Linked DNA regions of Sus scrofa. The protein of the gene in region 3 interacts with the protein of the main gene of each other region in a pairwise test. Links are inferred from orthologs where the notes say so. Each region holds a gene or a part of one and is shown on either strand. Other genes may lie near its edges.

The links.
Region 1: the proteins of TXLNA (region 3) and VPS52 interact in binary tests that used the Homo sapiens proteins (3 or more experiments, as listed by UniProt). The two-hybrid records come from large-scale screens. The link is inferred for Sus scrofa from reciprocal best matches to the Homo sapiens genes TXLNA and VPS52.
Region 2: the proteins of TXLNA (region 3) and KRT20 interact in binary tests that used the Homo sapiens proteins (3 or more experiments, as listed by UniProt). The two-hybrid records come from large-scale screens. The link is inferred for Sus scrofa from reciprocal best matches to the Homo sapiens genes TXLNA and KRT20.
Region 4: the proteins of TXLNA (region 3) and CEP57L1 interact in binary tests that used the Homo sapiens proteins (3 or more experiments, as listed by UniProt). The two-hybrid records come from large-scale screens. The link is inferred for Sus scrofa from reciprocal best matches to the Homo sapiens genes TXLNA and CEP57L1.
Region 5: the proteins of TXLNA (region 3) and SPERT interact in binary tests that used the Homo sapiens proteins (3 or more experiments, as listed by UniProt). The two-hybrid records come from large-scale screens. The link is inferred for Sus scrofa from reciprocal best matches to the Homo sapiens genes TXLNA and CBY2.
Region 6: the proteins of TXLNA (region 3) and STMN2 interact in binary tests that used the Homo sapiens proteins (3 or more experiments, as listed by UniProt). The two-hybrid records come from large-scale screens. The link is inferred for Sus scrofa from reciprocal best matches to the Homo sapiens genes TXLNA and STMN2.
Region 7: the proteins of TXLNA (region 3) and CDR2 interact in binary tests that used the Homo sapiens proteins (3 or more experiments, as listed by UniProt). The two-hybrid records come from large-scale screens. The link is inferred for Sus scrofa from reciprocal best matches to the Homo sapiens genes TXLNA and CDR2.

Annotation. Positions count from the first base shown.
Region 1 is NC_010449.5:29,636,369-29,640,386, reverse strand, and holds the start of VPS52 (vacuolar protein sorting-associated protein 52 homolog), read left to right. Parts: upstream 1-1,218; 5' UTR 1,219-1,506; coding exon of another isoform or gene 1,507-1,509; 5' UTR 1,510-1,941; coding exon 1,942-2,031; exon of another isoform or gene 2,032-2,090; intron 2,091-2,811; coding exon 2,812-2,896; intron 2,897-3,049; coding exon 3,050-3,102; intron 3,103-3,273; coding exon 3,274-3,349; intron 3,350-4,018. Other genes in the region: RPS18 (40S ribosomal protein S18), read right to left, coding at 957-1,055, 1,507-1,509. UniProt on the Homo sapiens protein: Acts as a component of the GARP complex that is involved in retrograde transport from early and late endosomes to the trans-Golgi network (TGN).
Region 2 is NC_010454.4:21,583,220-21,587,482, forward strand, and holds the start of KRT20 (keratin, type I cytoskeletal 20), read left to right. Parts: upstream 1-1,463; 5' UTR 1,464-1,649; coding exon 1,650-2,057; intron 2,058-4,236; coding exon 4,237-4,263. UniProt on the Homo sapiens protein: Plays a significant role in maintaining keratin filament organization in intestinal epithelia. When phosphorylated, plays a role in the secretion of mucin in the small intestine.
Region 3 is NC_010448.4:88,666,551-88,670,050, forward strand, and holds part of TXLNA (alpha-taxilin), read left to right. Parts: intron 1-500; coding exon 501-695; intron 696-2,616; coding exon 2,617-2,736; intron 2,737-2,948; coding exon 2,949-3,023; intron 3,024-3,500. UniProt on the Homo sapiens protein: May be involved in intracellular vesicle traffic and potentially in calcium-dependent exocytosis in neuroendocrine cells.
Region 4 is NC_010443.5:75,208,993-75,212,492, forward strand, and holds part of CEP57L1 (centrosomal protein CEP57L1), read left to right. Parts: intron 1-1,068; coding exon 1,069-1,248; intron 1,249-3,500. UniProt on the Homo sapiens protein: Centrosomal protein which may be required for microtubule attachment to centrosomes.
Region 5 is NC_010453.5:21,611,819-21,614,760, reverse strand, and holds the end of SPERT (spermatid-associated protein), read left to right. Parts: intron 1-1,050; coding exon 1,051-2,268; 3' UTR 2,269-2,442; downstream 2,443-2,942.
Region 6 is NC_010446.5:57,003,945-57,007,940, forward strand, and holds the start of STMN2 (stathmin-2), read right to left. Parts: upstream 2,801-3,996; 5' UTR 2,532-2,800; coding exon 2,513-2,531; intron 1-2,512. UniProt on the Homo sapiens protein: Regulator of microtubule stability. When phosphorylated by MAPK8, stabilizes microtubules and consequently controls neurite length in cortical neurons.
Region 7 is NC_010445.4:23,806,803-23,810,302, reverse strand, and holds part of CDR2 (cerebellar degeneration-related protein 2), read right to left. Parts: intron 2,289-3,500; coding exon 2,176-2,288; intron 1-2,175.

The DNA.
Region 1 (4,018 bases), on a different chromosome or scaffold from region 3:
ACCATCATCTGAGCCTTTGTGCAATAGTAACAAAAGTCAATGACAATGGATCGCTGTAACAAATATAACAATGAAAATGTCTGAAATATTGTGAGAATCACCAAAATGTGACAGAAGACACCAAGTGAACAAATGCTGTTGGAAAAATGATTTGCTCAAGACAGGGTTGCCACAAAAAAGAGGTTATCTGTAAAGTGCAATAAAATAAGCCTCTACTGTGCACCGCCTTACTAGTTTCACAATAGAAGGAAGCAGTCTCCTCATGCACCACTTAAGACCGAAAGTTGTGCACCCTGAATTACAGAATGAAAAGAATTCAAAGTAAACATGATGGCTCTTATAAAGCAAAGCTTGTGATTCACCATTTTAAATTAACAACCTATCTATAAAATACTTACTGTGGTGTCCTTTGGGGATTGTGAGCAAGAAAGGCTTAGCCCTGGCACCACATAACATAAACATACTGGTAAGGTCATTTTTTTATGTTAGTTAAGCCTGTGCTCACTGACCTTGTTATGAAATAGTGACCCCCCCCCCATTTCCTGGTTTCTTCATGCTTGGAATCTCTTGGCCTTTCTACTCTCCCTTCAGAGTGTACCATTATCCCATTTCCAGGACATACACATTTCACAAGAATTGCTCTTATGATGCACTAGGAGGAGCAAAAACCTATATAGCAGGGACCTTATAAGTTGACTGCTGATGGTCCAGGCCGGTTTAGTGAACAAATGCTGGCAGACAACCAAAGCCTTTCCCCAACCCCTAGGTGAAAACAACTTTGCTTCACCTAAGACGGTTCTTTGGCTTTTACCACTTACCTTTTGCGGCAAATGTGGCAAGGGCTTAGATGGACCCTGACCATTGTTTTTACCCAGCAGCCCAGGTGACACGGTTGAGACTTTCGCTTACACCTCAGGTGTTTACCCAAGTTTCCTTCACACCCCCAGCTCCTTTACCTTAATCGCAGTGATAGCAAAGGCAATTTTCCGCCGCCCATCGATGTTGGTGTTGAGTACTCGCAAAATGTGCTGGAACTTCTCAGGGATTACTAGAGACTGATAGAGATGGGGGGAGATGTCAGACTTCGCTAATTCCCGCCAAACCGTTAACCCCAAACACGAGCGTGAAGCTTGTCACGCAAGGTGCAAAGAGCCCCCGTCAGGTCTTCACGACACAACACGACTCCCTGGTCCTGCCGACAGCACAACAGGAAGCGTCCAGGATCGGAGAACGCCATCTCCGGAGGAGAACGCCTCCTGCCCGCTCCCAAGCGGCGGGACGGAGGGCCCACGCGCTCCCAAGCCTTCCCAGAGCCCGGGGAGCGCTCATCCTCGGGCCCCGCTGCCTAGAACTGGGTGCTTTGTCGTCCTTCTCCAGGAATGAGGCCCAAGGCTCCACACAAAACGCTGCGAGCCCCCAGGCCAGGACATTTTCGGCGCTCTGACAGCAAGCCTTCCCTGTCCCGGCTCCGATGTCGCCAGATACCCGAACGAACCCAACTCTTACCATGGCTGCAGCGCGGGCGGCGGCGTGTAGGCCTCCAGTGGAAGAGAGAGCGGAAGTGACGTGACATTCTTATATAGCTTCCAGGCGGAAGAGGCGGAGCGACCTTGGCGAAGCGCTTCCGGAAACTCCTTGTACCTGAGCCGGCTAGGCCTCTGAGTCAGAACTGCGCGCCACAACTTCCGGTGCCGTCTCTCTTTACAGATCGTAAAGTTTTTGCGCGTGAGAGCCACGAGAGTTCCGGGTTGAGATTCTCTTTTTAAGACTTTCAGTTTCCATTTGGACTTGGGCGAAGAGCTTAGAGAAAAGGGGAGAGCTAGAGGCAGTCTGTTTAACTCAAATATCTGGGAACGGTTTCGTGCATCACGCCCCAGAACTTGCAGTTCCACTCAGGGGAACGGACCTGCCCGACAGCTGCCGGAAGTGGGGCTGCGCGGAATGGCTGCCGCTGCTACCATGGCGGCAGCCGCCCGGGAGCTGGTGTTGCGGTCCGGGGCCTCAGATATGGAGGAGGAGGAGGGCCCACTGGTGAGGACGCAGGGCTGTTTCTCCTCCAGAGTCTCGTCCGGTCTTCTCACGTCAGAAAGGTCTGGGCTGGGTTTCGCGCAAGGTTGGGAGCTCGGCTGCTACCGGTGATGCTGCCTGGTCTGGCTCTCCATACCCCTCCCCGGATCGGACCTGGACCAAAGTGGGGACTAGAATGGCTGATACTTAGGTTCTGGGGCCACAGTTTCAGTTAAACTCCAGATATTTGCGCAGGATAGAGAAGCGGTGTAGAGTAAATGCTAGGAACATGGCCAGACTGCCTCGGTTCTAATTCCAGCTCAGCCACTTATGCTGTGTGTGTTTGGGCAAGTTAACTAGCCTCTCTGTGTCATCACTCTTAACACTTATAAAGTGAAAAAATAAGACTTACTGTAGAGGTTGTCGGTTAGGATTAGGTGAATGTAGGATGACACCTGGCACGATGGTGAACACTGTGTTAACTGACATTTCTAGAAAGGCTGGAGCTCCCCACGGGGATTGTAACAGAACATCTAAGATAGAAGGAGTCTGGAGACCCTAAGTTCAACTGCAAGTTCTGCTCTGTCCCTGCATCTCCTAATTTTCCTCATTTGGTCACCTCTGTGGGTTTGCTGGCTCCTTGTCATATTCCCTACCCATCAGCCCCAATGAGTAGATTGGGACAATATGAGATTTTGGAATTTTTTGGACTCAGCATTTCTCTCTGGTTTCCCAGTGAAAGTCCTCTCTCCCCATTATATTTTGTTCTCCCCCTCCCTTTCCCATTAACCTGCCCCTCTCCAGGGGGGTGGTCCAGGTCTCCAGGAGCCACTGCAACTTGGAGAGTTGGACCTCACCTCTGATGAATTCATCCTGGATGAAGTTGATGGTAAGTGATGGCACGAGGTGGCCGCAGTGCCTGTCATCTTAAGAGGCATGGGGGCTGGAGGTAATAAGGCAGGAATTGGTGTGCAGATGTTCGGATGTGGGTAGCGGGCGCTGTGGAGCCCTTTGGACCCTTATGATAAACTTCTCTTTCCAGTTCACATTCAGGCAAATCTGGAGGATGAGTTAGTAAAGGAAGCTCTTAAAACGGTGAGGTTTTCTGCTCTCCTAATCTGCCCCTCCACTCACCCTCCCCTCAAAGAAGAAAACAGTCTCTTCGTGTAATATCTTAATGTCTTCTCCCCAAATCCTTTGTTGACTTTGTTGCAGTGTCCCTTCTCTGACTGCCCCCCCCAACCCATCGTGTTTATGCTCTTCCAGGGTGTGGATCTCCGTCACTATTCAAAGCAGGTTGAACTGGAGCTACAGCAGATTGAGCAGAAATCCATTCGTGATTGTATCCTCTGGCAGAGGGAAGGGTGGTGTTACTAAAACGGGCGTTTGGGAGTTCCCATTGTGGCTCAGTGGGTTAAGGACCTAACATAGTGTCCTTGAAGATTCGGGTTCACTCCCTGGCCTCGTTTAGTGGGTTAAGGATCCAGTGTTGGAGTTCCCGTTGTGGCGCAGTGGTTAACGAATCTGACTAGGAACCATGAGGTTGCGGGTTTGGTCCCTGCCCTTGCTCAGTGGGTTAACGATCCAGCGTTGCCATGGGCTGTGGTGTAGGTTGCAGATGCGGCTTGGATCCCGCATTGCTGTGGCTCTGGCGTAGGCCAGCGGCTACAGCTCCGATTAGACCCCTAACCTGGGAACCTCCATATGCTGCGGAAGCGGCCCAAAGAAGTAGCAAAAAGACCAAAAAAAAAAAAAAAAAAAAAAAGGATCCAGTGTTGCTGTGAGCTGTGGCCTAGGTCGAAAATGCAATTTGGATCTGGTGTTTCTGTGGCTGTGGCCGGCAGCTGTAGCTCCGACTCTACCCCTAGCCTGGGAACTTCCATATGCTGTGGGTGCGGCCCTAAAAAAGAAGAAAAAAAAAAGGAGTATTTTGTGGGGCATGGTGCTGACAGCCCCGCCACAGCTGCCCTCCATCAGCTAAGAGAGAAGGAGAGGTCCTGCTGGTCCAAGG
Region 2 (4,263 bases), on a different chromosome or scaffold from region 3:
CCTTACTTGCTGCAGGTAATAAATCATTCCTTCTCCCGGTGGCGGGGGGGGGGGGGGAAGAATGAAATAATGAAATAGCACCTCACACCTATTAGAATGGCTATCATCAAAAAGATGGGATAACAGAGTTCCCGCTGTGGCACAGTGGGTTAATGATCCAGACTGTCTCTTTGGCAGCTTGGATTTGATTCGTGGCCCAGGACCTTCCATATGCCATGCAAGCAGCCGAAAGAGAAAAAAATAACTAATAAATAAAAATAAAAAGATGGGATAATAGGATGTAAAGAGAACACTGGTGTACTATTGGTGGGAATGTAAACTGGTACAGCAATTACGGAAAGCAATACAGAGGTCCCTCAAAAAATTAAAAATGGAACAACACCATGATCCAGCAATTCCACTTCCAGGTATATTTCCAAAGGAGATGAAATCACTGTCTCAGAGACAACTGCCCTTCCATGTTCATGGCAGCATTATTCATAAATAGCTAAGATATGGAAACAACCTACATGTCCATCAACGGATGAACAGATAAAGAATATATATACATATATATACACACACACACAGATATTCTGCCACCTGCAGCAACAGAGAGACCTCGAGAGCATTATGCTAAGCGAAAGAGCCAAGGCAGAGAAAGGCAAATACTGCATAGCATCACTTTTATGTGGAATCTTAAATTGAAGAAGAAAAAAAAAGTCAAACTCATAGAAAAGAGAGTAGAAAAGTGGTTGCCAGGGGCTGGGTGTGAGGGATATGGAGAGAGGTTGGTAAAAGGGTACAAACTTTCAGCTATAAGATGAGTAAGTTCTGAAGATCTCATTTCAAATGTGGTGTCTACAAAAAAAAAAAAAAAAACAAAGAAAGAAAGAAAAAGAAAAGCAGTTCTTATTGTGGTGCAGTGGAAATGAATCCGATGAAGCCTTGCTCAGTGGGTTAAGGATCCAGTGTTGCCATGAGCTGTAGGTTGAAGACATGGCTCGGATCCCATGTTGCTGTGGCTGTGGCGTAGGCCGGCAGCTGTAGCTCCAACTAGACCCCTAGCCTGGGAACCTCCATATGCCACAGGTGTGACCCTAAAAAAACAAACAAACAAACAAAAAAAAACATGGTGACTAGAGCTGACAACACGGTATTGTATAATTGAAATGTACTGAGAGTTTTAAAATGTACTGAATTTTTAAAAAAATTTTAAGCATTGCTTTTTATCACCAGTGTGAGTTACTATTATATAACCACATCTGTCTTTTCAGGTAAATTATTCATAGAGACTGCAAATACTCTTTATGTGTATATTAGGATGGAAAATAAAAAGGGCCAAAGCAGGTGCAGAGGATAAAAGAATACACCTTCCTGTTTCCTTTTGTCTCCCCTGTTTAAAAAAGAAATCACCTCTGAGTAAAGCCTCTTAGAAAGGCCTCTAGTGGTAATTTCTGGAACAGAATTAAACAGACTGCTGCACAAAGGAGAGGAAAAAAAAAGCAAGGCAAGGTGGACTGCGGTGTCGATCGATCGTAAAGGGAGATGTCAGCACAGGAGGCGTTTCTTTCCTGTGAACTCTATAAAAGGTCAGCTCATCCAGGACCAAGAGACAGACTCTGCTCCATCCATCCTGAAGCTACAGCTGCTCCCTCCTAGAATCCCCAATGGATTTCAATCAGAAAAGCTTCCGCAGAACCCTGAGCTCTTCCTCCCAGGGCCCTGCACTCAGCATAAGCAGCTCCATATACAGGAAGGGGGGCACCCAGTACCTCGGAGCCGCACCCAGCGTGTATGGGGGTGCTGGAGGCCATGGCACCCGCATCTCAACTTCTAGACGCGTGGTGAGCTATGGGAGCGACCAAGCTGAAGGGAACCTGTGGGTTGGCAATGAGAAGATGACCATGAAGAACCTCAATGACCGCCTCGCAAGCTACCTAGAAAAAGTGCGGTCCCTGGAGCAGTCCAACTCCAAATTTGAACTGCAGATCAAGCAGTGGTATGAAAGCAACACGCCTGGCATCAGTCGGGACCACAGCGCGTATCTCCAACAAATCCAAGATCTTCGAAATCAGGTGAGGCGTGATGTCTGGGCTTTCCACTCCATTGGTCAGCAGCATGATATGTATGTCAAGAAGGCAAATACGTTAGGTGGGTCCAAACGCTATAAAGCAAATTAGGTTTAAATGTTGCGTCGCTCAAAATGGTATATATCCCATTATCTACCCTGCGTACTGCAGTACCTGACTACATGATAGGATGACTGTAAACCATTCATTTAAAAAATCATCACCATCCAATTACACATAAAATATTAAAATTTTATCCTCCAGTCTTACAATCTGAATTTTGGTCACACATAGTCTACCAAGTCTGGGCTAAGCAGGTAGTAAACATATTTTTCTGGGAAGAGCTAACAATTTTTTATGTAGCAATAAACCTTTCATAGTTTTTCACCTAATTTCTATCAACTTTTAAAACCCCGGTCAATTGAGAGATTTTCCTCCTTTCATTTATGTAAATGTTGTAATTCAAGCAGTAGAATATTCGTTCAGAGATTTCAATGATAAAGTGATTCAGGGTGGAAATGGGGGCAGGGGCCAAGGTCTTAATGATACCTGGATTTTAAAATGTCTTTTAAATGTTTAATAATCTGATCATCCCCCAGCAGAAACCAGTTCTACAGTCATAAAGTATTTTATTGCCCGCAATTCAAATTTATTGCAATCATACCTGCTCCCATATCATACAAGAAAAGGTGGAGTTCTCCGTTTTATCAATTTTATGGAATAAAAGACTTTGCTCCTAGTTGAAGATCTCAAATATGATACAGAACACTTACTCTGTTTGCTAACCTTATCTAATCCCTCCCTTTCGTTTTCATTTCTATTTTAACACTCCTATTTCTTGAGAGCAAGGGCCGCTTGCCAACATGTCTCTTTCTCTTATGTTGTGTTAGACATCAGCGCAATTCGATTCAGATTCATAAGAAGTTATTTCGGGGTTTCAGGAGGATGGGGATGGGAGACAAAGGTGTTTAAATTGTCCCTTCCACCAACATGTCATTCTCCTTGGGCTCCCGCTAGAAAACGTTCAAAATCAGCCAGCCATTCGCCCTACCCCCTCATGATTCACGTGTCTGAAGTTACCTTGGACATCCCAAACACACAGGCAAATGTTCCATTTAGGTGGGCAGACCCAGGATGTGAAGGAAGGCAGTGCTTTTCGGGACTAGGGCTATTGAAAGAGACCTGCCATTGTAGCATCTTTTACAAGCAGATTTCTGGTCCACTTTAGAGGACTCAGTATCAGGTAACTGCTCCTTAAGATCAGGGGTTTATCCATCCTGACAGCCCCAGTGCCTAGTCGAAACCCTACCACATAGCAAGGGTGCATTCATTTGGCCAATATTTAGTAGATATTAACTAGGAGCTGGGCACTGAGGAATATGACGGTGGAGATGATGTGATGTGGGGGAAATGGGCATGCCAAGGATGGATAAATCCTGGCACTGAGGGAAGTGTAGGGCAATGAAGGCGCAGGCAGGTTATCCAGCGCTGTTTTGAGGACAGACCGCCTTGAAGCAATGATGCCTAAGCTAAGACGTGGAGGAAGAGGAGTTCACCAAGCGAGAGGGGCTAAGAGGACTACTCTAAGCAGGAACAACATCAAAGGCAAGGCACACAATAAAGTCTGATGGCTCGAGTTGAAATACACCATCCGTTTGTAAAATCGTAAGCTGGCCAAACCCTTGGGACTCAAGTTGCATTTTATGAGTCTTTGTGTGAGAAAGACCCATCGCAATATGCCGCTTTTCTGTTTTCATGTGAAAAGCCTTTGAGGAGTTCCCGTCGTGGCGCAGTGGTTAACGAATCCGACTAGGAACCATGAGGTTGCGGGTTCGACCCCTGGCCTTGCTCAGTGGGTTAACGATCCGGCGTTGCCGTGAGCTGTGGTGTCAGTTGCAGACGCGGCTCGGATCCCGCGTTGCTGTGGCTCTGGCGTAGGCTGGTGGCTACAGCTCTGATTCAACCCCTAGCCTGGGAACCTCCATATGCCGCAGGAGCGGCCCAAGAAATAGCAACAATAACAACAACAACAACAACAAAAGACAAAGGACAAAAAAAAAAAAAAAGAAAAGCCTTTGAGATGAATATCATCTTTGATATGAGAGGGGTGGTAGCCGAGGATAAACTCAATCACGTTAGGCTCTTGTCCAGTTGAAAATATCGTTCTCTCTTGCATGTTTTCCAGATTAGAGACGCTCAGCTGCAAAATGCT
Region 3 (3,500 bases):
GTGGCGCAGTGGTGAACGAACCCGACTAGGAACCATGAGGTTGTGGGTTTGATCCCTGCCCTTGCTCAGTGGGTTAACGATCCGGCGTTGCCCTGAGCTGTGGTGTAGGTTGCAGACGCGGTTCGGATCCAGCGTTGCTGTGGCTCTGGCGTAGGCTGGTGGCTACAGCTCCGGTTCAACCCCTAGCCTGGGAACCTCCATATGCTGAGAAAGCGGCCCAAGAAAATGGCAAAAAGACCAAAAAAAAAAAAAAAAAGAAAGAAAGAAAGGCACTTACACATAAGCCTGCACTTCTCTAGGAAGTCCCTCGCTCGATGTCACCTGATCTACAGCGAGGTCCTTTAGGAGTCCCCTTTGCATGACATCTTGGAGCCTGGCTACTCCTCACTTGGACAGCAGGGGGGGCGCTGGGAGAGACCATCCCTGGACTGGCGGGGGAGCCTCCTGAGGCCGGCTGGGGAGCAGTGGATGATGGAGCTGTGGCTGACTTCTCCGCCCAGGAAGAAGGTGTGCAGCGGGCCCGAGAGGAGGAGGAGAAACGCAAGGAGGTGACCTCGCACTTCCAGGTGACACTGAATGACATCCAGCTGCAGATGGAACAGCACAATGAGCGCAACTCCAAGCTGCGCCAGGAGAATGTGGAGCTGGCAGAGAGGCTCAAGAAGCTGATTGAGCAGTATGAGCTGCGGGAGGAGGTGAGGGGTCCCCAGGGAACTGGGATCTGGGCGGGTGCTGGACGCCGGGCAGCACCTTCCAGGTTTCATCCCATTCACAGTCCACCCTCCTCTGTCCTCGGAGGGGGTGATGTTGTACATTTTCATGGGGATGGGGATCCAAGGCAAGGAGAAGAGACTTGCCTGGAGCCACAACCACCGGTCTTGACCCAAATGGCGGGGCCAGTATCTTTAGGCATTAGAACTGCTCACATTTTAGACTGGAGTTAAACGTTCACAGACTGTATGTTACATAGCGCCCCCAGCAGGCCCTTGTGGCAGCACCCCCGAGTCAGACACATGGAGATTTATGCAGTTAAACCTCTGAGGCAGCTCCCCTTGGATTATTGGTTAGCCTGACAATGACTGGGGTCAGCCGTATCTGCCTGCTTTTGATGATTTCAATTTTCAGACTTTTTTAGAATTTGGAATCACAAGGTGAGAGCTGGAACTATCATGAGTGATGGACCCTCGGGGCTGTGTGCTCTTTATTATTTGGTGTTCTGCTGCCCTTGCTACGTGAAAGGGCAGGATATACAGTGCCTTGGCTGGTGTTGGGTGCTGCCCCAGGCTCTCAGATCCTTCCCTCTGAGTCCCCAGACACCATTCACTTGGCTGTCCTGGGCTTCTGTTTCTTTGTCATGAAAAGAGAGACTGGCAGCTACCTTATGGGGCTGGACCAGACCCCTTCCTAGGCCCTGGAATGTGGTGGTGGGTGGGTGGGCAAGCCCCTACCCTCTTGGGTTCACAGTCCACACATGCAGTGACCATGTGTGTGCAGGGCCTGGAGGGGCCTCCCCAACCCACCTCTTCTTTTCCTGTGCTTCATCCTTTGGGAACAAGACTGGTTTGAGGCGTTGATCTGAGAAACATGGAAGCTTCCTGAGTTAGGCACCTAACTTGGAAAAGTTGAGGGCCCTCTCCCTCTCCTCTCTCACTGGTACTACCTGTGGAGCTGGTGGTGCATCCCATCCCCAGTCAGATTCAGGCATTCCCACCCTACCCCCCTGAGCCTCCGGACTTTCAGGTGACTCAAATCCATCCTGTCCCAAGCTAGACCTCGAAGCCACTTCCTCTTCCCACATCCAGAAAATACAGCCAATGCTCCACCTCCCTCTTTTCAGTTGCTTTGACCTTTGAAGTAGCACTTGAGTCCACACCTTCTCTGCATCACTGCTCCCCCCGCCCTAGTCCCAGTTCCCAAGGCTCCTCCAGCTGTCAGGACAGCCATTCTCTGGGATGCACACATCTAGTCTACAGATACAGCAAATTTCTGCCAGCTGAGCTGGTAGAGGTGTCATTTGTGCCCTTTCCATTTACAAAAGTGAGGGTTGTCGGGAGTTCCCATTGTGGCTCAGCGGTTTAAGAACCCAACTAGTATCCATGAGGAATGCAGATTCAATCCCTGGCCTCATTCAGCGGGTCAAGGATCCGGCATTGCACAAGTCGCAGATGTGGCTTTGATCCCAGCATTGCTATGGCTGTGGCGTAGGCTGGCACCTGCAGCTCCAATTCGACCCCTAGCCTGAGAACTTCATATGCTGCAGGTGTGGCCCTAAAAAGCAAAAACGGGAAAAAAAAAAAAAAAAATGAGGGTTGTCAGTCCAGTAAAGTAATCTTTCTTAGGGCTAGAGGTTTGGGTGTATTAGTTACTTGACTTTCTGGAGTTGATCTCATGCTTAAACCCCTGTGCTTACCCGAGACTGACTGAGGCAGAGAAATAAGGTGAGATTGGGAAGAACTTCCAGAGACTTGTGTCCCGTGTTCCTATGGGACACATGGGAGTCCAGCATGTCAGACTCAGGTGGGGGGCTGGGCATTGTGCCCTGGTCTCTGCAGATGGGGCCTCCCTGAAAAAGGGAGCTCCCAACAGGCAGACCCCTCCCACCATGCTTTCCTGCAGCATATCGACAAAGTCTTCAAACACAAGGACCTACAGCAACAACTGGTGGACGCCAAGCTCCAGCAGGCCCAGGAGATGCTGAAGGAGGCAGAGGAGAGGCACCAGCGGGAGAAGGATTTTGTGAGGCTTGGACCCCGGGGGTGGGGGGCCTGGGTTCTAGCTTATCTCATAGTTAGGTTTGTACAGGAGAAGTTGCTGCCTGGTGAGACCAAGGCACTGCTCCCTCAGACCAGTCTGTGAGCAGGAAGCCTCAGTGGGTTATGGCATGTGTGGCTGAAAAAACAAGCCCTTAGGAGCTTCTGATGGGATCTGGGGTCCTTTCTCGGAAATAGCTCCTCAAAGAGGCTGTGGAGTCCCAGAGGATGTGCGAACTGATGAAACAACAGGAGACCCACCTGAAGCAGCAGGTGAGCCTGTGTAGCCCACCCCTACATGGTGTGCCTCTGTGATCCCCACGCTGAGCCCCACCTGGGGGGAGGGAAATGGAACCCTCATTCTAGGACCACCTTGACTCCTGTGTGCCCTTGCTGAGCTTTGTTCTCTCTGGACCTGCCCAGCACCTGTGTGGTGGTGACCAGGTGGCTAGGTGAGCTTGCAGGACTCTGTCCTAGTCAGAAATGTTATGCTGCATTTGAGGAGGCAGGCTCAGAATGGGTGATTTTATTTATATAAATTAGGAGTTCCCTTCGTGGCTCAGTGATTAATGAATCCGACTCAGAACCATGAGTTTGCGGGTTCGATCCCTGGCCTCACTCAGTGGATTAAGGATCCAGCATTTCTCAGACGTGGCTCAGATCCCGCGTTGCTGTGGCTCTGGTGAAGGCCGGCAGCTACAGCTCCGATTAGACCCTTAGCCTGGGAACCTCCTTATGCCATGGGTGCAG
Region 4 (3,500 bases), on a different chromosome or scaffold from region 3:
CTTCAAGAAATAATAATCCAAATCACGAAATAATCTCTAGCAAACATCTTTCTAATTGGATATAAACTATATGAAAGTTAACCCAGAGCATTTATTTATATTCCATTCATCTTTAGTTTTATAATTTAAAGTAGTAACTGAAAAGAAAGTATAAGATAATGTCTGTAAACTCTGAACTTATCCGAATCATGAAGATATTAATATAGCTGAATAAAAATCACAGTAGTACATGTGTAACAGTTATTATCTTTCAAGCCTGATATCAGTTAAACCACTAGGTTGTAATTTTTTCTTAATGGAAGAAACTATATTCTTTCTCATGTGTCCTAATTATTAACATTATATCTTGAAAGTATATAAAGAAATAGAAAATGTGTTTTGACCAAAACTGAAGCATATCAAGAACTGCAAAAACTTGTGACTTTAAACCTGAATTTCCTTGTTAATTAGTGGATACTATATATGTATCTTTTTTGTCTTTTCAGGGCTGCACCCACGGCATATGGAGGTTCCCAGGCTAGGAATCAAATTGGAGCTGTAGCTGCTGGCCCACACCACAGCCACAGCAATGTGGGATCTGAGCTGCACCAGCGACCTACATCACAGCTCACTGTCAGTGCTGGATCCTTAACCCACTATGCAAGGCCAGGGATCAAACCCATATCCTCATGGATACCAGTTGGGTTCATTACTAGCCACGAGGGGATCTCCCACTGGATAATATGTTTTAATTTTCTTCATCCGTACTCAGACTCTTATGCATCCCAGACTATACATTATCTTTTTGTCTTTTAATATGAATATATTTTATGAAATTAAATTGGGATTATTAGCTTTTTCAAATCTCAAATTTAAAAAATTACTAAATACAATCATAAATATATTGTTTTTATAAGTTAGAACTTAACCCTTTTTAGAGTTTCAGTAATTTTTCTTTTTTTAATGAGGAATATAAATTACTTATTTTTATGGCTAACGAAAATAAACTGTTCACTTTTAAATGCTATGATAGTAAGTGTTCAAAAATTCTCACTTAAAATAATAGTAAACAATTTTTTTTTTCAACAGCTCTTATTTTAGCCTTAAAAACTCTTCAGGAAAAGATTTATCGTTTAGAGTTAGAGAGAACACAAGCTGAAGATAATCTAAACATTCTTTCCAGAGAAGCGGCACAGTATAAAAAGGCCTTGGAGAATGAAACAAGTGAGAGAAATCTGGCACATGAGGAACTGATAAAGCAGAAAAAGGGTAAGACAATTCAGTAGTTCTCAGAAACAAGTTACCAAAGTTTACTACTTGAAAATAATAAGTCCAGTCTGAGAAGATTTACTCAAATATCTTTGTACTTATATGCATTCAAACCTTGAGGGCTTGTTCTCAGATGTTTTGATGTTTTCACTAACTGGATATAATTTTGAACTTAACCTCTATTATAGCTGTTGTCCTAGTTTACAACTTACTGAGACTAAAAGAAAACTTAAGTTTATAGACAAATTGTTTAGGAATTCAAATGATTTCAGAATACTAACAAAATCCAGTATATTATTAGCCTGTAATATAATTGAACTACTTTACATTTTCACTAGATTCTTTTTAAATTTGAAAATATAAAGCAACACTAATAATTAAGTAATAGAAAAAGTTAAAATAAATTTAAAAAAAATTTTGGCTAACTAATGTATGACAAAGGAGGCAGGAACATACAGTGGAGGAAAGATAGTCTCTTTAATAAGTAGTGCCAGGAAAACTGGACAGCCACATGTAAAAGAATGAAATTAGAACATTCTCTAACACCACACACAAAAATAAGCTCAGAATGGATTAAGGACGTAAACATAAATCCAGATACTGTAAAACTCCTAAAGGAAAACATAGGCAGAACACTCTTTGACATAAATCAGAGCAGTATCTTTTTGGATTCACCTTCTAGAGTAATGAAAATAAAAACAAAAATAAAAGTGAGACTTAAACCTACAAGCTTTTGCATAGTGAAGGAAACCATCAAAAAAAAGAAAAAAAAAAGACAAACCACAGAATGGGAGAAAATCTTTTCAAACAAAGTAACCAACAACGAATTAATCTCCAAAGTATACAAACATCTCATGCAGCTTTATAGTTTAAAAAACAAGCAACACAATAAAAAAATGGCCAGAAGATGTAAATAGACATTTCTCCAAAGAAGTCAGATGGCCAAAAACACATGAAAATATGCTCAACATCACTAATTATTAGAGAAATGCAAATCACAACTATTGAGGTATCACCTCACACCAGTAAGAATGTCTGTCATCAAAAATTCTATAAACTATAAATGCTGGAGAGGATGTGGAGAAAAGGGAACCCTTCAACCCAGTTGATGGGAATGTAAATTGGAGCGATGACTATGGAGAACAGTATGGAGATTCCTTAAAAGGCTAAATATAGAACTACCATATTATATGGTCCAGCAATCCCCCTCCTGCGCATCTATCTAGAGAAAACCATAATTCAAAAAGATACATGCACTCCAGTGTTGATTGCAGCACTATTTATGATAGCCAAGACATGGAAGCAGCCTAAATGTCCATCAACAGGGGAATGGATAAAGATGTGGTACATATACATAATGGAATATCATTAACCCATAAAAAAGAATGAAATGCCATTTGCAGCAACATGGATGGACCTAGAGATTATCATACTGAGTGAAGTAAGTCACACAAAGACAAATGTGATATCACTTACATGTGGGGAAAAGTGATACAAAAGAAATTATAAAACAGAAACAAACAGATTTCAAAACCAGTCTTCTAGTAACCATAGATGAAACTGTTGGGGGAGGGAGGAATTGGGGGTGGGGTTAATAATATACACTACTGTGTAAAATAGATGATTAATAAGAACCTACTGTATAGCACAGGAAAATCTGCTCATAGTTTGTAGTAACCTATATGGGAAAAAAGAATGGCTCATATATCCATTATATATATTATAATGGATAATAATATTATGTCAATTATATATATCCACTATATATCCATGTATGTTAATAGATATATACATCCATCAGTTATATATATAACTGATTCATTTTGCTGTACATCTGAAACTAATACAACATTGTTAAGTCAACCATACTCCAATAAAAGTAAAAGAACTTAAACCAAATGAAAAAACAAAAATGAACCAAAAGCCCACTAGTCTGGGGCAAATATTTTTCTGCAGTATCAATATTAAGTATTCATCAAATAAAGTCAATTATTTACCTAAGGAAAAAAGTTTTTAAGAATTTTATTTAACTTGATTTGTATCCTCCTCTTCTCACTATTTCTGACTTTGATAGCATAATTGTGTGTGGATGATTTCATATCTTTACTGTATACATGCCTTTACTGGTGAGCCTTGTCATTTGTGGTATTTTTGTTTCTGGTTGTGGCCTTTTCTTTTCTGCCTAGAGAAATTCCTTTAGTATTTGTTGTAAAGCTGGCTTAGTGTTGCTGAATTCTCTCAGCTTTTGCTTA
Region 5 (2,942 bases), on a different chromosome or scaffold from region 3:
GGCTCTTAGGTGATGCCAATTGTGCGTGCACATCTACAGCTGGGGTAGCTGATCAGTGTTTATTCTTCCTGTAGGGTAACAGAAGTGTGCCAGAGCCCACGCTTAGTGCTTTCATACAGGACCTCTTTGCATCCTAAAATATCACTATGAGGCAAAGCAGTAGGTGCAATTATCCCAAATGGAAGACAGTAGAAACTAAAGCTCACAGGAATTTGTCCCTGTTCTTGTAACTGATCAAAGAGTGGAGCCAGGACTCAGAGTAGTTGGTTGATGCCAACATCAACGCTTTTAACCTCCATGATACATTGTGGATTCTCATTATTTGTGGATTCCATGTGTGTGAATTTGCCCATTTTTTTCTCACTGAAATTAGTTTGCAACTCCAAAATCAATACACGTGGCATGTTTGTGGTGATTCGTGGACATGTAGAGAATAATGAACAATTTAAGTTCCCTGATGTACCTGTTTCCAGTTGAGGCGCCTTCTTGTTTCAGCTCTCAGAATGCAAAATAGTGCTCTTTTCACAGTTTATTTAATGTTGTTGTTTTCACACTTTTACGCTTTTTGTCAGTGACTTCATTGTCCACAGTGGCGCTCAAGCATAGCGCTGATGTGCTGTCTCGGGGTCCTAAGCTCCAGAAGATATTGATGTGCCTTACAGAGACAGGAATACGGTACAGTGCTATTGGCTGCAAGTTTGATGTTAACAAATAAAAAAATACATTTTCAGGAAGGTGTCTTTCAACAGAAAGCAAAGTTTTATATTGATTGGTTGAGGACAATGTGACCAGAGGCTGGCGGGAACCTGTGTTTCTTCTCCTGGCAATGGTTCAGTATGCGCACATTCTATGAGTTCGTGGAACTGTATAGAACAGAACTGTCGCGACTAGTGAGGGTCGATGTATTTCCTCGGGAGGAACCCCAGAGGCCAAGTGCAGAAGCACCCACTGCGCTAGTCGAGACTCCCGGATTGGGTTTCTTGCAGGGTCTCCAGCCCCGGGTTCCCCCACGCCTTCTCTAACTCTGGGCTTCCCTGTTCTCTCCCGCAGAGGGGCACAGCCGAGCCCTTCTTGAGGCTCCACAACTTGTACCCCGCCCCGCGCTGTGCCAGGCAGGCCGCCCTGCCCAGGCTGAGCCGCCGGGTGGTCAGCCAGCACTCCTACCCGCTGAACCGCTTCTCCTCCGTGCCCCTGGACCCCATGGAGCGCCCCACCTCCCAGGCGGACCTGGAGCTGGATTACAACCCTCCCCGGGTGCAGCTCAGCGACGAGATGTTCGTCTTCCAGGTCGGGCGCTGGGTGAGCGAGAACTGCCGCCTGCAGTCCCCCTACTTCTCCCCGTCCTCGTCCTTCCACCACAAGCTGCATCACAAGAGGCTGGCCAAAGAGTGCCTGCTGCAGGAGGAGAACAAGTCGCTGCGGGAGGAGAACAAGGCGCTGCGCGAGGAGAACCGCACCCTCCGCAAGGAGAACAAGATCCTGCAGGTCTTCTGGGAGGAGCACCAGGCGGCGCTGGGCCGCGACGACAGCAGAGCATCCTCGCCGCTGCTGCACAAGGACACCGCCTCGGCCATGGATGCGGTGAAGAAGGACGCGGCCCTGCAGGTGCACCGCGGCCGGGAGAACAGCACCCTGCAGCTCCTCCGGGAGGAGAACCGGGCCCTGCAGCAGCTGCTGGAGCAGAGAAAGGCCTACTGGGTCCAGCCGGACGAGAAGGTGGCCTCGGCCGAGGAGATCAAGCCGGTGTCCTCACCCCACGAGGAGCCCCACGGGCTGCTGCCGGACCAGGGTGCCGGCCTCTCCTCCCCGTTCGAGGAGCCCAAGGGCCCCCCGGGGCCGCAGGAGGACGCCAAGACCTACCGTGCCCTGCGCGAGATGGTCAGCAACCTGTCCGGGGCGCCTGGGGTGGAGGAGGCGGGCAAGGCGGGCCCGAGCCTGCCCGACGGCAGCCAGTCGCTGGAGCTGCTGCGGGAGATGAACCAGGCCCTGCAGGCCCTGCGGGAGGAGAACCAGAGCCTGCAGGTCCTCCGCGAGGAGAACCGGCTCCTGCAGGAGGAGAACCGAGCCCTGCACGCGCTGCGCGAGGAGCACCGGATCTTCCAGGAGGAGAACAAGGCGCTGTGGGAGAACAACAAGCTGAAGCTGCAGCAGAAGCTCGTCATTGACACGGTGACGGAGGTCACGGCCCGGATGGAGATGCTCATTGAGGAGCTGTACGCCTTCATGCCGGCCAAGAACAAGGACCCCAAGAAGCCCAGCAGGGTCTGAGCCCCCCCCGCCCCCCCCGCCCCCCAGGCGCACAGAGGCACCCAGCTGGGGGGGCAAACGACATCGCCTGCCTTCCTGTCACCGCCCGCCGGCGCCCACCCGCTGGTCCCTGTGCCAGGGCGATCTGTTCAACTCAGAGAAGTAATAAAGGCGTGAGGAGGCTGGGGCCGCTAACTCCTGCGTGCTGCTCTGCCTTTCTCTCTCTCTCTCTCTCTCTCTCTCTCTCTCTCCCCCCCCCCCCCCCCCCGGCTCTCTCTCTTTAGCATCTGTAGGCTCACAGAAAACTGGAGCAGAAGGTACAGAGGAGTTCCAGATGTGTCACAGTGGGTTAGGCATTTGCTGGGGCGGCTACTGCCAAGGCCAGGTTGGATCCCCTGCTTCGGTAGTGGGTTAAAGGACCCAGTGTAGGTCACAGCTGCCACTGGGGACTCAGTCCCTGGCTGGGGAACTTCCAGAGGCCCAGAGTGTGGCCCTAAAAAAATAAAGTATGGAGATTTCCCATCCCCTGCCCTCCCACCCACTCACGACCTCCCCCACTGCCATCATTCCCCCCCCCCCAAGTACATTTGTTACAATGGATGAACCAAAGGCCATGGTTCACCTTAGGGGTCACTCTGGGCGGCGTCCTTTCTGTAGGTGTGGACACATGTATAATGACATGTATCCATCACAGT
Region 6 (3,996 bases), on a different chromosome or scaffold from region 3:
AGAAAAGAAAAGTGAGTGCAACAAGGGTTAATCCTTATTCAAAGGCAATCATTCAAACCGTCTGAACAAATATGGCCACTGAGTTAAGAAATAATAATAACTATTTGAAGTAACAGCAGTACTGATGATGGTGATGAGTTTGCAGACGCCCTCCTGCAGCAGAAACCTCTTGGTGAGGATGCGGAGCGCAGAGCGCGATCGCCCCCATCCCCCATTCTCCGAACCTTTCCGGACTTGCGGGAGAACCGCGAATTGTGGGAAGTCGGGGTAGTTCGGGACACTGCGCAGAAACCTGTCTCCAGGGCTGCACCCGCGGGGGCGAGCGCCCAGCTCTGGGGCGGGGAACGCGGGGCGCGGCGCCGGGCTCTGCAGGGCTGGCTGCGCTCCACGCGCGGCTCACCACGTGCGCCCCCACCCGGCCAGCGGCTGTCGGATTTGGCCCCCAGCTGCGAAGGGTGGGGCCGAGCTACTAGCTCAACTGACGAGGGTCTCTCGTGCGGAGACCATCCAAGGGGTCTGACCCAGGAAAGCGTGGAGGACAGAGCGTGGGCCGTGGGCTTAGGCTGCGGGAAATAGCCCCAAGGTCCTCCGAATGTGGGAGGGCGAGAAGAGAAACCCTCCCCGCCCTGCTGGGAAGGGGTCACCTCTGCGGTCCCGCGGCCGGCTGGGGTGGGGCCGCCGCCTTTGTGTGGCCTGGCAGGGCTCTAGCCAGCCCGTCTGCAGAGCTACTTTCTAGGCTGGGAGTGGCTCGGAGCTGGCACTCGGAGCAACGCCCGGTGTCGGCTCACTTCGAGGGGCGCCTGGGCTGTTCTGGGCTGCGGGGTTGGGAAAAGGGGCACTGGGACTGCAGATCGCTCAAGGGCCCCTCCCCAAACCCCTTTCTTGGCCAAGTATCTGAAACAAGGGCTTTTGACTCCGCCAGGGAGGGTGGGGCAGGGAGGAGCTGTCCAGAACAAGCCCTTTTCGCTGGCTTTTCCCTTCTCCGCATCCCACACTGGGTCCTGGGGGAAGGGTGTTTCCAGCTGCCACCCAATCTTGGGTCCCTCCCTGCCAGTCCCCAGCTCCCACCTACCCCCTCACGGGGGGGGGGCATTGGAGACGCATGACCCTTTGGGGATGGAGGCCCTGGATCCGGAACTTCGTTTGGTCTCTTCTGTCTCCACTGTCTCTGACACGGGGCTGAGCTTATGAGAATTGTTGGTCTTTGGCCCTGTCTGACCTACAAAACAGATATTTTACTTGGCTCAATTTAAGACGTTGACCTCTTTTGTATCCGGTTATTATATATACTCATATCTAGGTTCCGAAGCTTTTTCCCAAAAACGACCAAATGAGTTCAAAAAGCCTTTATCTGCGTTTAGTCTAATCACCCTAGGTAATGTGTTTTTGAAAAGAAAAATGTTAACCCACTTTTGCCCCCTTCTCTCCCTAAAACAGAACAATGAGGCCAGGGGTGGGGAAGGCGGGGGCAATGGTCAGGTCTCACTCGTAAGCAGAGCCAAGGAGTCAGGAACGCAAAGCACGGGGCGTGGCGCGTGGCCATGCTGTCCCCCAGGGCTGGGCTCCCGGGCGTCGCGCTGCGCTCCCGACCCGGCCCCTTTTCCGCCGAGGATGCTGCGCCGGGCTGCGGGGGAGGGGGGAAGGCGCCGGCGCGGCTCCGCACAGGGTGGGGCAGTCCGCATTGTGAGCCCAGCTCTGCAGGTGCCTCCCCCCGCCCCCAGGGGGGGACTGCTCGTCCTCACACAAAGAAACCCCACCCCAGCGCCTGCGAAACCGATGTCCCTCCACCCCTCCCCAACGGCGCACTTCCCCGCCCCTGCAGCTGCCCACCCGCGCCCTCCGTGCCCTCCCGACTTCCTCTCTCCTTCCCCTCCCTTTCCCTAAAACAAAGGAGTATAAGTCTCCCCGCCGCCCCCATCCCCCCAACCCCGCCCCGATCCCTTCTCCCTGCACCGCGCCCCAGGACTAGCGGTTTTTCCGACTAGACAATACCATAAAATTTGCCCGGTTCTTCACCCGCCTCCCTTGTCTCCACCCATCTTTCAAAAAGCCTAGATAGGACGGCTTTGACTTTGCATTTTTCTTTTTCCTTTCTCTCATACCCCCTTTTCTTCCCTATTTTCTTTCTTTTTCTTTTTTTAACTAGAGAAGAAATAAAGCACGTTACAAAGCACTTTTCAAAATATCGCTTAACCCGGTTTAAGGCATACTGTTAAGATAGCCCCCTCCCCCCACGACTGAGCCCTAATTTAAAATATGGAAACAGAATAAATTTCCTACCCATGGGAAGTCAACTTACCTGCTTTCACCTTAAAAAAAAAAATTCTTCGCTTTAGATGTTTAAGGATCCCCTCTGTTTCCTCCCCCTAACCCCAGTGCTGCTTCCGTCCTTGCCGATTCCTATGTTACCAATAACATCTTTTTCTCTAAAAAATATCTCCAAATGCCTATGAGAGAAGGTGAGAGGTGGGCTCCAGAGAGAGCCGAGGAAGAACGAGGCGCGATGCCTTACCCATTGCTGTTTTAGCCATTGTAGGGATGTGCAGATGCTGAGCGGTGGCGAAGGCGGAGGGTCCAGCTACAGCAGCGCAGAGAGCGAGAGAGAAGACTGAATAAGGCACTGAGTCTGCAGAGTGGGACCGTGCGAGAGAAAGAGCAAGAGGCAGGAGCCCATGAATAATTATCACTCAGAAGCTCAAGCAGATTGGCTCCCAAGGTCCCCTGACATGACTCCCACAGAGTCAGAATCTCCAAGCATTAAATATTGATCGGCCAATGGTGCTGGAGTACAAAGTACCAGAATGCAGTTTGAAATGGAAATCAGTCCTTCCTGGCAGCTCCCCCCGTTTTGGGGGCCTGATAGTACAGTCCAAGTAGAGTGGAGCCTTAGCCCAGAAGCCTTCTAGGAGCTAAGAACTGGGCTGTGCCTACCTGGGAGTCAGGAGGCTTGACTTGATTCGCACATGTTTCATTGCACAAATAGACATATAAGAAGGAAAGGGATTCGCAGGCCTGAGAAGTCTTCACAACATGCTGACTGTTGGAAATAACTGTTTAAACCCTGTTTTCACTAGTTCATGTTTTCTCTTTTACCTTTGGCCACATCTTTGGTAGATGATAGTCTTCCAGGGTGACACCATGTCTGGCCGTGGTGGAAACTCAGTGCAGAACTGCATTATTGTCCTTTGTCTCCTAACACAGCTGGACTCAGGCGTCTCTAGACTCTTGAGGATCTCTCAGCAGAGCAAGGCCTGATGTTTTCTACTCGTGACACAGGAGGAAGGGGCTGCCTGGGTTGCTTGGGAATAGGGACAAGCAGTTATGGTCTCTCTGGGGACTTTGTGGAAGAGAATGAGCATTAGCCTCTTGTGCCTGGGTCCTGTGCGTCTGGAAACAGGGCAGAACCAGGTTGACTGGTTGGCTTGAGGACTGGAGGAGCCAGAGGTGGGTGGATGCCATGCTACCCTGGAGATGTAGAACTGCACTGATTGAAACCTCAGTGAACTTTCTAGGGCTCTAAGGAGAACCCACTGAGAGCTTAGTGGAGATGAGTGGTGTGGTCTGGAGTATTTTTTTTTTTTTTTTCTGAGATGCAGAGGTACCATTGATACAGGCTAAAGAAAGATGTGTTCATGTTCTAGGCTGAGGATTTCTTGAAACCAGCTGAAAAAAGCTGCTTTTCATTATGAACAAGATATTCCTTAATTCACACCTACTCACTTAATGAATGCTATTCATTGGTTCCTTTTTTTTTTTTTTTTTTTTAACTTGACTCACAGAAATACTCATTAAGCATTTACTATGTGCCAAGCTCTGAGGCCACAGCAGTGAGAAACATTTTAGGACTTGTTCTCTTGGAGCTTTTAGTCACTGTTATTTTAACACTTCTGTGACTTCACTGAATCTTCCTCCAATCAAGGTCTATTCAGAAACTGTGATTTTGACATTGGGAAAATAGGCAAATAATCCCCAATTCCATTATATTTGTAAGCTGAA
Region 7 (3,500 bases), on a different chromosome or scaffold from region 3:
CCACAGCATGTGGAGGTTCCCAGGCCGGGGACTGAACCTGAGCCACAGCAGTGACAATGTAAAATCCTAAACCTGCTGCACCACAAGGGAACTCCTATTCTGTGTATCTTAATTATGGTGTAAAATTAAGGATACTGAAATGATACATGAAGTATCTTAGTTTTAATGACAGGTTTATTTGTATTCAAAAATTGAAATCTGTGTAATTTTGGATGGTGTTTTTCTACTTCTTTGCATTTCCAGAACCTGGTTCAGTATATAGTCAGAACTCAGTAAGTTCTTTTTTTTTTTTTTCCGCCTTCCTTTTTAGGGACACACTGGTGGCATATGGAAGTTCCCAGGCTAGGTGTATAATCGGACACCTTAGCCACAGTAACAAGGGATCCAAGCCGTGTCTGTGGCCTACACCACAGCTCACGGCAAGCGAGGCCAGGATTTGGATTCGCCTCCTCATGGATACTAGTCAGATTTGTTTCCACTGTGCTACAATGGGAACTCCCAGTACGTTCTGACCATGATGCATGGCTTCTACGTTCTAAGGCCTTTTATATTTTTTTTGGCACCAAGACACAAAAGTCTTGGTGCCACTGTACCAATTTGAGGGGAGAGAGTTGTACTTTAAGTGCAAGGCTCTTTTCGGGGTACACGGGGAGTCTGGTGCACGACATGTTCTAATGGGACAATTGTCTAGTTAATATCTATCGCGATCATCTTGTGTGTGTGGCCTACACATAACAGGGTTACTTTAATGCGACCTGAATCTAGCATCTTTCATTTTAGTTGGTCAGACTAGGGAAAAAGGAGTATTTTAATTTTTAAAATCTACTAAAAATGTCAATAAATCAAGATCACAGCAGGGAGAAAGAAACAGCTCTTTTATGATTACTTCTTTGAAAACAGGTACTACCATTTAAAATTTTTTCATCCCTCATGGACTTGGGAGAATAGACTTGGGGTTGCCAAGGGGGAGGGGGCAGGGGGCGGGAGGGGGAGGGACGGGGAGTTCGGGGTTAATAGATGCAAACGACTGCCTGTGGAGGGGATAAGCAGTGAGATCCTGCTGTATAGCACCGGGAACTATAGCTAGTCACTTGCGATGGAACATGATGGAGGATAATGTGAGAAAAAGCATATACATATGGCTGAGTCACTTTGCTGTACAGGAGAAATTGACAGAACAGTGTAAATCAACTATAATGAATAAAATAAAAGTCTTAAATAAAATAAAAATTTTGCATCAAATTTAGGACAGTGTTTGCTGAGGGGAGGGCATGTAACCGAGGAGGGGTTATAGGGGGAGCCTTCACAGTGCTTAAGTGGATCCTTTTTTCAAGCTGGGTGAGTGTTCACGGTATTATTCTCTTGTACCTCTTTGCATAGCTTCACTTTTGCACAATTCTTTTTTTTTTTTTTCCTGGGCAGCATACATACGGAGTTCCCAGGCCAGGGATCAGATCTAAGCCACAGGTGGGACCTAAGCTACAGATGCAGCAAAGCTGGGTCCTTCAACACCCAGTGCTGACCAGGGATCGAACCTGTGTCCTGGTGCTTCAGAGACACTGAGAATCCCATTGCACCTTGGCAGGAACGCCACAATTCATTTTTTTTTTTAAGAAAAAAGTGAAAAATTATGTATACTATTCACAGCTTTCTTTTGTTTCACATACTGGACCACTTACATCCAGGACACTTCACCCAGGGTGAAGAGAGAGATTTCTCTCATCATAGCAGATTTTATGTGTTGAGAAAGCTTAGAGAAAGTAAAAATCAACTTCCACACCTTCCCAATGGTTTTTTTTTTTTGCTTTTTAGGGCCACACCCACGGCATATTGGAAGTTCCCAGACTAGGGATGGAAACGGAGCTACAGCTGCTCGCCTACACCACAGCCACAGCAACACGTCTAACACCTACACCACAGCTCATGGCAATGCCCGTCCTGAACCCACTGAACGAGGCCAGGGACCGAACCTGCATCCTCATGGATACTAGTCGGGTTCATTAACCACTGAGCCATAAAGGGAACTCCTCCCAATGGTTCTTTATTCTCAAAAAAGTCTCTTATGCGATGTTAAACATTGCTCTTAATTGCAAATGTTATTTCAGTGGAACAGGATTGGTACAACGGCAGCGACATGCCACACCCCAAAGGCGACTCTCCCGGCTGAGTAAATACCTCGATTTCCTGTAACTGCTCCTGATTGGTTGTGTACATCTGCTGAAGAGAATCCTCCAACTCTGTGTTCCGATCCAGCAAGGTCTTCCCAAGCTCAGCCGCAAGCTGGAGATCTAGCACAACAGGTAAAGCTCAGAAAAGCACAAACGATTCCACTTCAACATCTTATATAACCCAGTTCTTAAAATAAGAATGAACCAAGACCCAACCTAACATATAAAGTTGAAGTCAGATCCCAGAGGAAGGTGGAAATGGCACAGAAGGAAACCTGGGTTCTACTCAAAATTCAGCTGAATTGGGGCCTTTTACCAGGTAACGTACTGGGTACCCTTACTTGTTAAGACGTGAAGGACAGAGATCTACTTTCTGGAGGTGCATTCATTAGTTTAGCAAGGATCGTTTAGCACTGCGATGCCTAAGATCATAATTATTTGCTTACGGACTGGACTTAATCATGTGATGGTTGTCTACTTTTTTGGATGGACGGTTAAGCCAAAGTAGTCTTTCCACACTCTCTAAAGTTCCCATGAATCTGACAGCTGTGAGAGCAACGCTCAAAGTAAAGTGTGTTCTGGAGTTCCTGTTGAGGCACAGTGGAAAAGAATCCAACTAGGAAGTAGGAGATTGCAGGTTCAATCCCTGGCCTCGTTCAGTGGGTGAAGGATCCAGCGTTGCTGTGGCTGTGGTGTAGGCCGGCGGCTACAGCTCTGATCGGACCCCTAGCCTGAGAACCTCCATGTGCTGTGGTACGGCCCTAAAAGGCAAAAAACAAACAAACAAACAAACAAACAAAAAGCAAGCAAGCAAGAAAGCCAAGTGTGTTGTGTTGTGATAGGTCCTGGCCTCCTAAAGGGACTAAACGTTTAGTCAAGAAAAGGGAAAAAGCATCAGTGATGAGAACACTGCCTCTGATCTCTCTCATTTTTCTTCCCGTTTCTCTCCATGCCCTTCTCCAGGATGAACAAACCAGATGCATAGAGCAACAGTAGTTTGTGTGGTAACTCAGGTCGTAGCTTATACTTTCATTTAACACAGAACCATGTCTATTTAAACCTCATTTTTCAATGCTGTCTTCATAGGCATATATGCACCTAAGACAGGATTTGTATTATATACAATCCTAGAAATAAAAATTTAGTGATACAAAAAGGGACAACAGGAGTTCCCATCGTGGCTCAGCGGTTGAGGAACCCCACTAGTATCCATGAGGATGTAGGTTCGATCCCTGGCCTTGGTCAGTGGGTTAAGGATCCGGCGTTGCCGTGAGCTGTGGTGTAGGTCGAAGATGGGGCTCAGATCCCACGTTGCTGTGGCTGTGGTGTAGG